2 linked regions of the Arabidopsis thaliana genome follow. Changing the gene in region 2 together with the main gene of any one other region gives a genetic interaction. Each region holds a gene or a part of one and is shown on either strand. Other genes may lie near its edges. The genes, in order: ERS1 and EER5.

What was found.
Region 1: of EER5 (region 2) and ERS1, a change in one rescues a mutant of the other (synthetic rescue), as found in Arabidopsis thaliana (one study listed by BioGRID).

The regions. Positions count from the first base shown.
Region 1 is NC_003071.7:17,083,821-17,089,375, forward strand, and holds ERS1 (ethylene response sensor 1), read right to left. Parts: upstream 3,507-5,555; 5' UTR 3,260-3,506; intron 3,025-3,259; 5' UTR 3,000-3,024; coding exon 2,094-2,999; intron 1,999-2,093; coding exon 1,630-1,998; intron 1,550-1,629; coding exon 1,283-1,549; intron 1,205-1,282; coding exon 1,077-1,204; intron 987-1,076; coding exon 815-986; 3' UTR 501-814; downstream 1-500. Other genes in the region: AT2G40935 (PLAC8 family protein), read left to right, coding at 1-143, 232-396; BZIP17 (Basic-leucine zipper (bZIP) transcription factor family protein), read right to left, coding at 4,003-4,430, 4,769-5,555. UniProt on the Arabidopsis thaliana protein: Ethylene receptor related to bacterial two-component regulators. Acts as a redundant negative regulator of ethylene signaling.
Region 2 is NC_003071.7:8,464,920-8,471,160, forward strand, and holds EER5 (proteasome family protein), read right to left. Parts: upstream 4,227-6,241; 5' UTR 4,151-4,226; coding exon 3,983-4,150; intron 3,379-3,982; coding exon 3,242-3,378; intron 3,153-3,241; exon of another isoform or gene 3,132-3,152; coding exon of another isoform or gene 3,124-3,131; coding exon 3,030-3,123; intron 2,924-3,029; coding exon 2,834-2,923; intron 2,735-2,833; coding exon 2,669-2,734; intron 2,582-2,668; coding exon 2,492-2,581; intron 2,403-2,491; coding exon 2,346-2,402; intron 2,246-2,345; coding exon 2,184-2,245; intron 2,102-2,183; coding exon 2,014-2,101; intron 1,901-2,013; coding exon 1,824-1,900; intron 1,489-1,823; coding exon 1,414-1,488; intron 1,342-1,413; coding exon 1,236-1,341; intron 1,137-1,235; coding exon 1,005-1,136; 3' UTR 771-1,004; downstream 1-770. Other genes in the region: AT2G19550 (alpha/beta-Hydrolases superfamily protein), read right to left, coding at 1-612; CDA1 (cytidine deaminase 1), read right to left, coding at 5,679-6,241. UniProt on the Arabidopsis thaliana protein: Involved in the regulation of ethylene response. Probable TREX-2 component required for nuclear RNA export.

The sequences.
Region 1 (5,555 bases), 8.6 Mb from region 2:
TAACCCATTGCATCTCCTGGGCTTTGGTCAATACCATTTGCTGCTTTGCAACTAATGGCGCATTGCTCGGTCTACCGGGATGCTTTGTGTCATGTTATGCTTGCGGGTACCGCAAATCATTAAGAGCCAAGTACAATTTACAGGTTAGAATTTCTCAAACGACACATATGTGGATAATACCATTAGGTATGTATGTGGCGCTTCTGACTGATTTAACATTCTTTGATTCAGGAGGCTCCATGTGGGGATTTTGTAACACACTTCTTCTGTCACTTGTGTGCCATTTGCCAAGAATACAGAGAGATTCGAGAACAAAGCAGTGGTTCATATCCTCTTGACATGAAGATGGCTATCACCAATGCCCCCTTGGCTCAAACCATGGAATCAGCTAACTGATCACTTTGTCTCATTGAGCTTCCTTGTTTATTTTGTAGAAGACATTTTTCTTTTCATCGACTTTTGCAATGTATTTGAGAAGTTTGATGAGTAAGTAAAACTTTCTAAGGTAATTTATCATATATAAAAAAGAATTTGTGAATCTGCCACAACCACAAAATGTTGCTCTTTTCGTGAAGATTTATATCGTTTATTTAGTAGTGAATTCCAAAACATATTCTCTAAAGTAATGTTCAATAAAATATAGTGAGAACAGATAAGGTACCTCTCCCCGTATATAGGATTTTTATTTTACATATTACATCCAACAAAATCCAATAAGTTAGATCACACCGTCCGGTCATGTATTTTCTTCTTTCTCTTGCTGCTGTGTAGTTAAAAAGTCTCACCTCAATACAAGTCTTTCCAACGTAATGTATCACCAGTTCCACGGTCTGGTTTGTGATTTAGCTGCAAGATGTAGCGCCATTGAACCACTGCTACTGCTTGGACCGTTGCAGATACCAAGCCTGATGATGAACGAAGCTGTGCAGCCTTTCTCTAGGCCTTCACTTTCTATCCACATGTATCCTCCCATTAGCCCGACAAACCTAACCAGAGACATCCATCAACAGAAACTTGCCTTTTAGCTATTTGTAACACCATCTGCTTATAACTTATATATACTTTTGGGTTGTTACCGTTTACAGAGAGCTAGCCCGAGTCCTCCACCGGAATGGTTCCTCTGAGTTCCGGTCCGAGGCTGTACAAATTTGGTAAAGAGCAAAGGAATGTCTTGTGTGTGAATTCCACACCCTGTGTCCTTCACCTGCACCATGATTATAACAGTAAGAACACAGTAAGAAGCTTAACTTTGTAGTTTAGTAATTTGTAGATTGGGTCTAACCTGCACACATAGGTAGAAGTGACTGTCACTGAGAACTGGAAAAAATTCTGGAGATGGTAATTCTTGTAAGGACTCGGGTTTCATGATAGAGGCTATTATGGAGATGTAGCCTTCCTTAGTAAATTTCACAGCGTTGCCCATGATGTTAAGAATTGTTTGCATCAGACGTTTCTCATCACCAATAGCATAAGTTGGTAAGTCTGCAGACAGAATCAGATTCGTTGATAGTTTCTTCACTGATGCGATTGGCTTTATCAAAGAGATGACCTGCAGATTCAAAGCGCCCATGTTATTCATGTAAGACATATATAATGGACTTCACTGGTTAATCAGGGGGATTTAGTTACCTCTTCAAAGATCGCTTGTAGACTGAATGGTTCATTTTCCAAGAGTAAGCTCCCATCTTCCAATCTCGAAAGATCCAGAACGTCGCTGATTAGTGTAGCCACAAGATTGCTGCTTTTCAGTATTGTCTCGATCATAACTCTTTGCTCTGGAGACAGCTCAGTCTCAAGGAGAAGAGAAGAAAGAGAGATGATGGCATGCATCGGTGTCCTCATCTCGTGGTTCATAACAGCTAGGAAATCATTTCGAGCATGTACTGCCATCTCAGCCTCTTGACGAGCCTTGTCTAAAGCAAAATTCTGCTCCATAAGCTGGTCACGAGCGTGCATGGATTCTTCCAAAATTGCAGCATGTGAGAGAGCCACAGCCACCTGAATGAAGTGAGAGTCAGGGGACAAAACAAAACACTAAAAGCTGGTAAAGCAACTTGACACACAACCAAACATATACAAGTAAAGAGATGGACCTGATCCGCCACGTTTTCTACAAGCTCTAACTCATGGTCTCTCCATTTTCTTGCACCATCGGTTGGGAGAATCAGGACCATGATAGCGTAACCTTTGCCAGAGAGATCCGACCAGTCACTGCCTTGGAAATTAGAGAGATGTAAAAGAGGAACACGGACAGAAACAACCTCAGGAGGTGAATATCTCCCAACCGGAGGCCCAATCTTAGCCAAAGGACAAGAATGAGGTATGTGCATAGCTTGAGCGCTATTGAAGAGTTCATTAATAATCGGGAGATTTATCGGCACACTGCTTCCAACTTGTATTTTATGACTCAAAGTATGAGAAAGCTGCAAATATAAACCACTTTGAGAAGGCATCCACAACGCACATTCCTCAAGACAAAGAGTTTTACCAAGCTCAACAAGAGTGGTTCTTAAAATAGTATGCCTATCAAGAGTTCTTCTAATTCCATGAGTAAGCATCCTAACATGCCTACCAGTCTCCTCTTGTGTTAAAATAAGACCCATTTCTCTATCTAACTCATCAGCTTTCTTCTTGAGAAACAATTCCCTGTTCTTAACACTGAGAAGATCAGGAATAATATGAACCAACATCAACGCGGTAGCACACGACACAACCGCGCAAGAGACTTTAGCAATAGTCATGACAATGGCAACGGCTTTGGAATGCATGAAGAACATCCATAGGTTGATGAAATGCGTAGCTCCACAGAGAATGATAAAGGCTCCAAACTGCATAAGCACCCATTTGTAAGGGAAGAAAGCAGACTTTTGCACGAAATAGATAAGCTCGAGTGGGATTGAGAAGTATGCAAGAGCAATCAACGCATCTGAGATGTATTGGTACTTCACTAACAGATCATCTTGATTCACATGCGTCTCAAAACAATCGCATGACTCCATTTTTGGAGCTCTGACTTGTGTTGACCTGGTCAACAAAACTCAGATATCAGTGGAGACTAGATTTGGACTAGAGCTATGGAAAAGAGATACAAAATCTATCCAGAAAATTGAATCTACAAAATGAGATTGATTCCTCGATAACACAACACAGATCGATCAGATGAAATGTTACTAAAGTAGTGAAATCAATCTTCATCGATAGATAGATCCGATCAGAAGAGAATAAATAGAAAGTTTGTTATCCCGAGACGGCACAGTACCTGGAAGAGAAGGATTCATGACGGCGGAGCTATTGGTGGTGTGAGCCTCATAGCTTTGGGTAATGATGAAAAAAAGAAAGTTCAAGTTCGTCTTCCTGATTGATCCGAGCGTTATGAACTTGAAGAAATGAGAATCCAAGCGTAACAGTGTGATAAAGAAGAAACCAATGAGAGGTAAAAGTTTTTGATGATTTTTTTTTTGCAAAGAGGGAAGTTCACGTGTTATAGGCCTACTTGTTACATTTAAATAATAATATTATTAGCTCTCTTTTTCTGACAATGAAATAAAGAAATTTTAAAAGTGAGCTCAGGTTCATGAATCTGAGGGTTCATGCTAATCCAATTCTCTCTCCGTCGACCTTCAGGTAAAGACTTCTTCTTCTGTCACTTGTGTGCTCATATTCTCCTGCTATCACCGATGCCCCCTTGGCTCAAACCATGGAATCAACTAACTGATCACTTTTGTCTACTTGGATTTCAGCTTCTATTGTAGAATGACATTTTTTGGTCATCGACTTTTGCAATGTATATGAGAGGTTTGATAAAACTTTCTAAGGCTATGAGTTTATAAAAGGTAAAAAAAAAAAGTTACAGCATTCGGATTCTACATCTGGAAACAAAAACCGGACAACGGTATTAGCTAAGGATATTACGTGATACCAGAGAGCAGGTATTTATTCTTTTACATACAAAGCCTATATGAGAGAAGACCTGCTGATATATGTTTCAATCCTCATATGTCTTCAAGTGGTCACAAGATGAGGAGCTCCTGATCGAGGTAGGACACAGGAGTATGTTACATACTTTGCACTGTCCAGAAGCACGACTACAAAAACTCGAGACAGTGATTTTGGTCCCCCAATCATCCCATCTATATCTCCATCACCTCCTTCTCTGGGATCAACAAGCACAGATACAACCATTGATGAAGCAGGCTTGATTTCTTTGCTACTGCTGTTTCTTTGGTGCTCTTTCGTGAGGTTAAAATCTGATCCTGGGAGTGGAATGGGAAGACCACGAAGGATTCTTCTGTTCTGTTGCTTGTGTGTGTCTGTGGTGTTCTTACCGTGTTCAGCAGAGACGTTGGTAGCTGCAGGAATGATGGCTCCAGAGGTTGAGGATACATCAAACTGAAACACTTCAGTGCACATCCCTGAACTAAACATGGGACCTACAATATAGTCATTTAACAAACAAAAAAGGTGTTATTATTTAGTGAACAAGAAAGATATAAACGCTACTACTGCGCTTACAGCTTCTGCCGAGAAAGATGAAGAAAAATATACAATATGAGTAACAATTTCACATGTTCCTTATTAGTGTTTAGTATCTAATCCAGATTATACAATACATCTACTCATGACCAGAGATTTGCTGAAGGTAAGTTAAGCCTCATTAAAATGTTCTTGTGTCTAATATCAAGATATGATAAGGACTAGTATACCTACAATGCCTGCCTACATAACCAAGTCAAGGGAACAGAAAGTAAGATCAAAAACCCATGATTACCTGCAACACCTTCACGGAACCATTGCTGCATTTCACCGTTGGCTGCTTTTGTTTTGACTTGGTCTTTCAGAGTATCAGCAGAGCCAGAGGATAGAGCTTTCTGTTTTTCAGCCTTAGATCTATAGAGATGCTTAGCCAATTCCTCTGTCCTTCCCACGTCAGGTAGAGGCAGTGCAGGGGTATAATCTTTAGAGATCATCAAGTCAGCTTTCCTCTCCTTTGATTCAGAAGCCTTTCTCGAAGCCACGGCTTTCTCACTCGCCAATATAGAATTGATAATCAAATTCCCATCTATCTTCACAAGCTTGTCATTCCTCGGAACAAAGAGTGATGCAACTAGAGGCTCACTACCATTTCCAGGAGTGACAGAACTCTCTGTTGCAGATATATTTTTCCTAGCTCCTCGATCAGAATCTCTCCCACGATGCATCCCATTACTATTAGAAACCCCAGTACCAGCACCACTACGAGATGTATCCAAAACTCTATCCCTATGCTGACTGTAAATCTGGTCAGTAATATAATTAGATCTATAGTTCCCATAAAAAGCACCACTAATTCCTCCATAATTAACGTTCACAATTGGAGCTAATGCACCAAACAAAAATAGACAAAACAGAAGACCCAGAAAACTAATACTAGCCACCTTCTTGGTCTTAGCTTCACTCTTCTTACTCTCGGACTTCTTAGCCTTGGATGTTCCAAGGGTGTTCTGTGGTTTCAACCTAGGAATAGGAATCAAAGGCACTTGAGATCCTTGTTGCTTCACCATATAAGGAGGACAAGG
Region 2 (6,241 bases):
ATCATCCGAACCATGAACTGTCAAAACTTTGCATTGTTTATCAATATTGAGACAAGCTTGATGCATATCAGTGTTTAACCTATCCATTAAAGACTCTTGAGTAACACGAAAACAAGATTTGCCCTCTGTAGCATCAATAAACCCCTGTTCCTTAATCTTTTCTATATAACCATCTCCGAGACGCACATCATTCTTAAGATCAAAACGTCCAGAGATATTGACGACATTGCGGATATAATCGGGAAACTTGGAAGCATAGAGAAGAACGACATCACCACCTTTACTATGACCAAGAATGACAGGAACTAGACGGTTCATGATGTTAGAGGAGGACAAGTGTTGAATAACGTAATGCAGATCATCCTCTGCTTCACTGTTGAAGTTACCATAATAGAAAGTTCCTTCACTATCTCCGTTACCAGAGAAATCGAAACGAAAAGAGCTGATTTTTTCTTTCTCCAAAGCTGTAGCCACGTTTTTGAGAATCTTGTTGGTCTTGTCCGATCTAAAGCCATGGCATAAGACCACAACTTCTTTTGATCCAGTTTCGTGAAGCAGACCCACGAGCTTCTCGTTGCGGCGGTTCGGAATCACGATCTTCGTTGGCTTCATCGTCTTTTTGCTTCAGGTGGTAATCGTAGAGAAGAAAACAATGAGGCCCCCTATTGATGTAAAAAGAATAAGGTAATGGAAGTATGGAACTGGAACTCTCGCCAAAGATCAAATTGCATTTTTCTGTGGAGATACGAATGAGACTCGTAATCACTTTTTCTTTTTTTTGCTAAACTAAAACTCGTAATCACTTATTCTTCTCATGTCGATATTCAGTGGAAATTTGGACCTTACTCGTAAGTAGACTCCTCAACCATGGTGAAAACTCCACAGTTTTAAAGTCACATTTCTATTGTAAAAACAGTTTTTGTTTTTTGTTTGAATGAATTTTACACACAATTAGAAAATAAAAAGTGTTTGTTGATACAACAAAAAAAATAACACGTGAAGACTTATGAGCTAACAGGCTTCCCGTTTAGTTTAGGGAAAGGATCTTGCTTGCTTAGAACTACCACTTTGCTCTTGTGAGCTAAATAACCTTTCACAAGGTTTTTGTATATCAATATCGTCATTATACATTCCACCTGCAAATACAGTATTATTTTGACAACTGTGAGTTTATAGAAGATTTCAATTTTAGAAGAAGTCAAAAGCAATGAATGGGATGGTATTGTAGAACAAACCTCGTCCAGATCCATGTCCATATCTAGCCATCTTAGTGCTTTGGCAATCCCTTCAAGCTTCAGCTGGTGAGCTCTCGCTGGATCACTCAGCTTCTGGTTTATATAACTGAAACATTGATAATAATAAGAGTTATAAACTCAAGAATCTTGGATGGTATCATAGCTTGTCTTTGCTTACATTTTCTTCATGAGTCTCTGGTAGACTTGGAGCTCTAGCTTTTCCAAGACAAGATACACACCCGACCTCAAGAACCTGTATAAAAGAAGAGTATTAGATCGAGATATTAAGTTGTTCGGTGATAGAATCAAAATACTCATCATATAGAGACTTGCACAACTCTACTCTCGACCCAACTGCAAATCCTAACCCCTAGACAAATCCAGAACATCCCAACTCTTTCTGCCCCAATTTTCTTTTAACCTGTTAGCTCTCTACCTAAGAACCAGGTGTTACTGACCTGTCAGCAGAGCTATATAATCCACTACAAGCAGCCTATACTAATTCCAATACTCATGCTCTAGAGTATCCACAAGGACTCTATCATTTGGATTAGATGAGAAAAGCAAGATATCGAAAGAAATACATACCGATCTTCATGTTCTTGAAGAGCATGCCGGAGAAGCCTTAGATCACCCTTTCTCAGAGCTTGCACAATCTTTGTGTACTGGACACGTAGAGAAATAGGATTAAGAGAGATATGATATCACTCAGCAGATGCGAAATAAGTTTTGACATAGATTCGAAGAAAATTTTATAGAACAACAGAAAAGTCGTTACCTCATGCAGATTATAATTTCGCAGGAGCTCATCTTTTGGTATAATTCCTAAAGAAAGCTTCACCGGTACCAAATACTTTAATATCATCCTGATTCACATAAGGCCACATTAGCTGATTAAGCAACGCAATGCAAGAGTAAGGTAATCACAGAGTAAAACCAGAATCAGACCTTATATTTCGTTCTCTTTTGGGGTTGCAATTTTGCAAGGCATATGATAGCTTTGTATCAGCCTGCAAGATCCAAAAAAAGAGATTAAATGTTACTATCAATATTTGGATTGACACTACGAAATGAACTGTGATGGTAAGAAAAAATCTCTTAGTGACTCACAGCAGGAAAATTTTCGTTGAAGACTTCTAATCGGCCGGTATAATACATGTATGTAACCTGGTGTTTGCGAAGAATAAACAGAAGATAATAAGTAACCGAATAAGGAGGCCAAAAACTAAAACTGTTTGCAGAGAACTGCGCCAGACCTTATCTCTTCTTGGAAACTCCTCAAAGTCAAATATCCGAGCAGTTTCGATACTTCTTATTACACTTCGACAAAGATTGACGGTTCCAAGCTAAAATACAAAATTGGGGATACCTGTTTAGTACTCCATTTAATGGTTAAATCATAAATATCAAACTGTTGCCAGAAAGCATATCACCTTAAAGTAGGTCTTGAACAATTGGCAAGTCACATATAATGCTCCGACTCGTTTTGGACCTTTCCCCTATAGTTTAAAACTACATAAGGAGCCGGAAAAAATATTGAACACAAATATAAACTAATATTCCTGAAGATATATAGATAGATCAAAGGGAAAACTTACAGCAAGAACTCCAAAAACTTTCATGAGAAGAGACCCAGCTGCTTTTAATTTCTCTGGAGACTTTCCATTAGAAGTTAAATCTTTATCAGCCTGCAATTCCATGTGGAAAAATCATGCTTTCAGAACTGACTCCTCGACACAATGAAACCAGACAAGGTTAAGATTTTGAAAAAGGGATATACAAATGAGATACTACCTTTTCCGCAAGAACTCGAATTTCATAACAAACTACATACAGAGCTTCCAATGCCCAAGCAGATTCCCAATTACGAAACTCCTGAACAAATGCACTGCACATATAGAATCCATCAGATATCAGACATTGTGAACAGACAAAAAAAAAAGCTTATCACCCTGAAATCATATTAGACATCAATAGAGGAGCAGAGAGGAACAAGAAGACTTTACTTGGCAAACTTATCGAAAGCAAGGTATGCTTCGACTAGATTCCCAACTCGGTAACTTTGTAGAGAACGAAACACATGAGCCAGAATCTCGCCATATTCAGAGAATCTATCAGACTGTCTAATCAAACTGCTAGAATCCTGTATCAGTCAAAGAAAAGAAAACTCAAAGGATTCAGCACTTTCACAGCTCTCTACATATAAATAAAAACCCTAAATCTAAAATCCATACTCATAAACTCAAACATAGACATAGAGTGTTCACTACAACAACTCAATAGGAGACACTTTCACGGCCTAAATTCATACTCATTGGTGAAGCAGGAGGACCCAATTGGAAAATCATACTCATTAGTGAAGTAGGAGGATCCTAGATTGACATTGATTGAACCTAAAAGATACACACTTTGCTAACATAAAGATAATGTTCCTAGTGTTTTGAGCCCTAAATTCAGAAATTCATACTCATTGGTGAAGTAGGAGGACCCAATTAGAAAATCATACTCTTAAGGATCTTACATTGAATCGATTTAACCTAAAAGTTACAAACTTTGCTAACATAAAAACCATGCTCCTAGTGTTCACAATTCATACGAGAACCCAATCGGAACATATCAGAAGCATCCTGGATTTGAAATCGAACCTAACTTTACCAATTTACAAGGATCATGCCACTAATCACAGGAACATACTCCAAGCTGCTAATTTGAATCATGGGTCTCGATTTAACAGAGAATATATGTACCTGGAAGACGTTGAGTGCGTCGGCGAGTGAGAGAAGAGGTGGAGAATTGGAAGAGAAAGAGAGGAGACGGCAAAGTGTAGAAGAGTCTTGGTACGAAACGGCGTCGCAGAATCGGTTTAGGTATTCAGTGATTCTCCGGTGAGCTTCACCCATACTAACGTACGCCATTGTCACCTTCTTCGTCTGCGTCTTCCTTATTCTTTGAGAGAGACACGAAATCAAATAAGTCGCCAGGAAAAAAAAGGAAATAACGGAGTTGAGAAAAACGACGGCGTTTGGTAATTAACTAAATTGTTACTACGTACTAGTCTTTTCTGGTATTAGACTTATTGACATATGTTAGTTGGGCCATTTAAGGCCCATATGAAATACAATCATTAAAATGTTTGAAAATTTATTTGTAAAGGATTTGAAAATATCATTAGTGTTGGAAGGATTTTAAAGTTCCTGTAATCGGTGGTACTGATCATGAATTTTTTTTAGAGTTTTTAAGTTCATATAATCGTTTTATAGATCATGATTAATTTGCTTTAAGGTTTTTTAAGTTCATGTAATCGTCCGTAATGTTGACATCTGTATGTAAATATGTCTTCTTAGCCCGATGGTGACGTGAGGAACTTTCTTGAAGGGACATGAAATCAATTTATACCATGCATATAACTCAACAAGTTGCCAAAAACTCGAAGAAATGAATATAATCAACTTGTCAAAAGTAATTAACTGATCAAATAAATCACTTGTTTCCAAATGTGATTTATACTTTCACACTTCTATATATTCCCATTGATATTCCCCTTCTTTCATAGTTAGCAAAGGCCTCTACTACATGTACATGATAAATAAATAAATAAAAATCACGCTAATCATATAATTATCAATATATTTTATTCTTGAACACACAATTAATAGAAATTTTGAGTTGAGAGAAGTCAATCCAGGATTAGTATTTATGTGTAATGCTAAAAGTTGAAGATAACGAGAAACTTGAGAGGTTTTTAAGGTTCCTACTTTATTTTTGGTATGAAGGTTCCTACTAAAATATGCTCTTATATATCATTTTATTTAAAAAGCATTCCATTTGAAACTAATCTAAAAATCTTTAGATTCATTGTTCACCACTCATAGTAAGAGTTGCATGTGGACCATCTTATATTCTCTACTTTCTCATACTTCGTATTTGGAACCTTTATTCCAACAAATTCAATGTGTAAAGCCATCATTACGTTCATTTATTTTTGCCTTTTTGCGTACATAAAAGAAACATCATAACTTGACATGTAAAAAAAAAAATCATTGATTCGATTTGAGACTTTTGAAAACCTTGTCAATTTTATAAAATTTGGCCGATTTGATCTAATCCACATAATCCATCCCTTATAGACGAAATTAAATTTTCAAAGGGGATATTAAAAAAAAATATCAAAAAATGGAAAAATTTAATATCAACAATTTTTTTTTTAACAATACTCCATAAACATAATAATTGTATTAAATTTAATTTTTTAATACAATAAACATTTTTAACAAATTTAAAAATATAAACTTTTCTTATTCTCTATGTGTTATCCATCACATCAATTTCAACACTTTTTTTTTTTCCGTCAATTTCAACACTTTTAAGAATTAAAAAGTCTCATTTTCTTTTTATTCCTTTTTTTTTAAAATTCCTTTATTTTTCGGATAATTAAATGATTCTCTAAGCTTCATAGCAATGAAACACTTTGAATTCGCATTTCGGCGATATAGTCTCTAATAACAACCTCGCCGTGTGCTCTTGCCTCACCACCGCATCTTCTTTCTCCACCAGAACCGCTCCGACGATCCTCTCGTATCCTCCTCCACCACCATTAGCCACATAATCAACCAACGCCGCCTGTACTGGTCCCATACTAGGATTATACGCCGCCGATTCCATATACCAACCTCTGTACACTTTCCCGTCACAATCCACCAGCGAAACTCCCGATGGACATAAACTATACGGCGCGTACGATCTATTCGCCGCCGCTAAAGCCGTTTGTTTCAAATCGGCGGATGAATCGGTGTTTCCGTTACAAATCGAATCCAGATCTGAGATTTTGAGATGGTTATCGTGAGATTCGAGAAGAAGAGGATGATCTTTCCCGAGAAGATCGTCGGGACCGAATCTGTGTGGCAAGAAGCTTCCGAGACGTAAGAATCCGTCTGAATCGGCGGCGGAATCGGAATCGGCGGAGTTGTTTGGATCGGTGATAAGGATTTTGATTTCAGGTGCGTCGC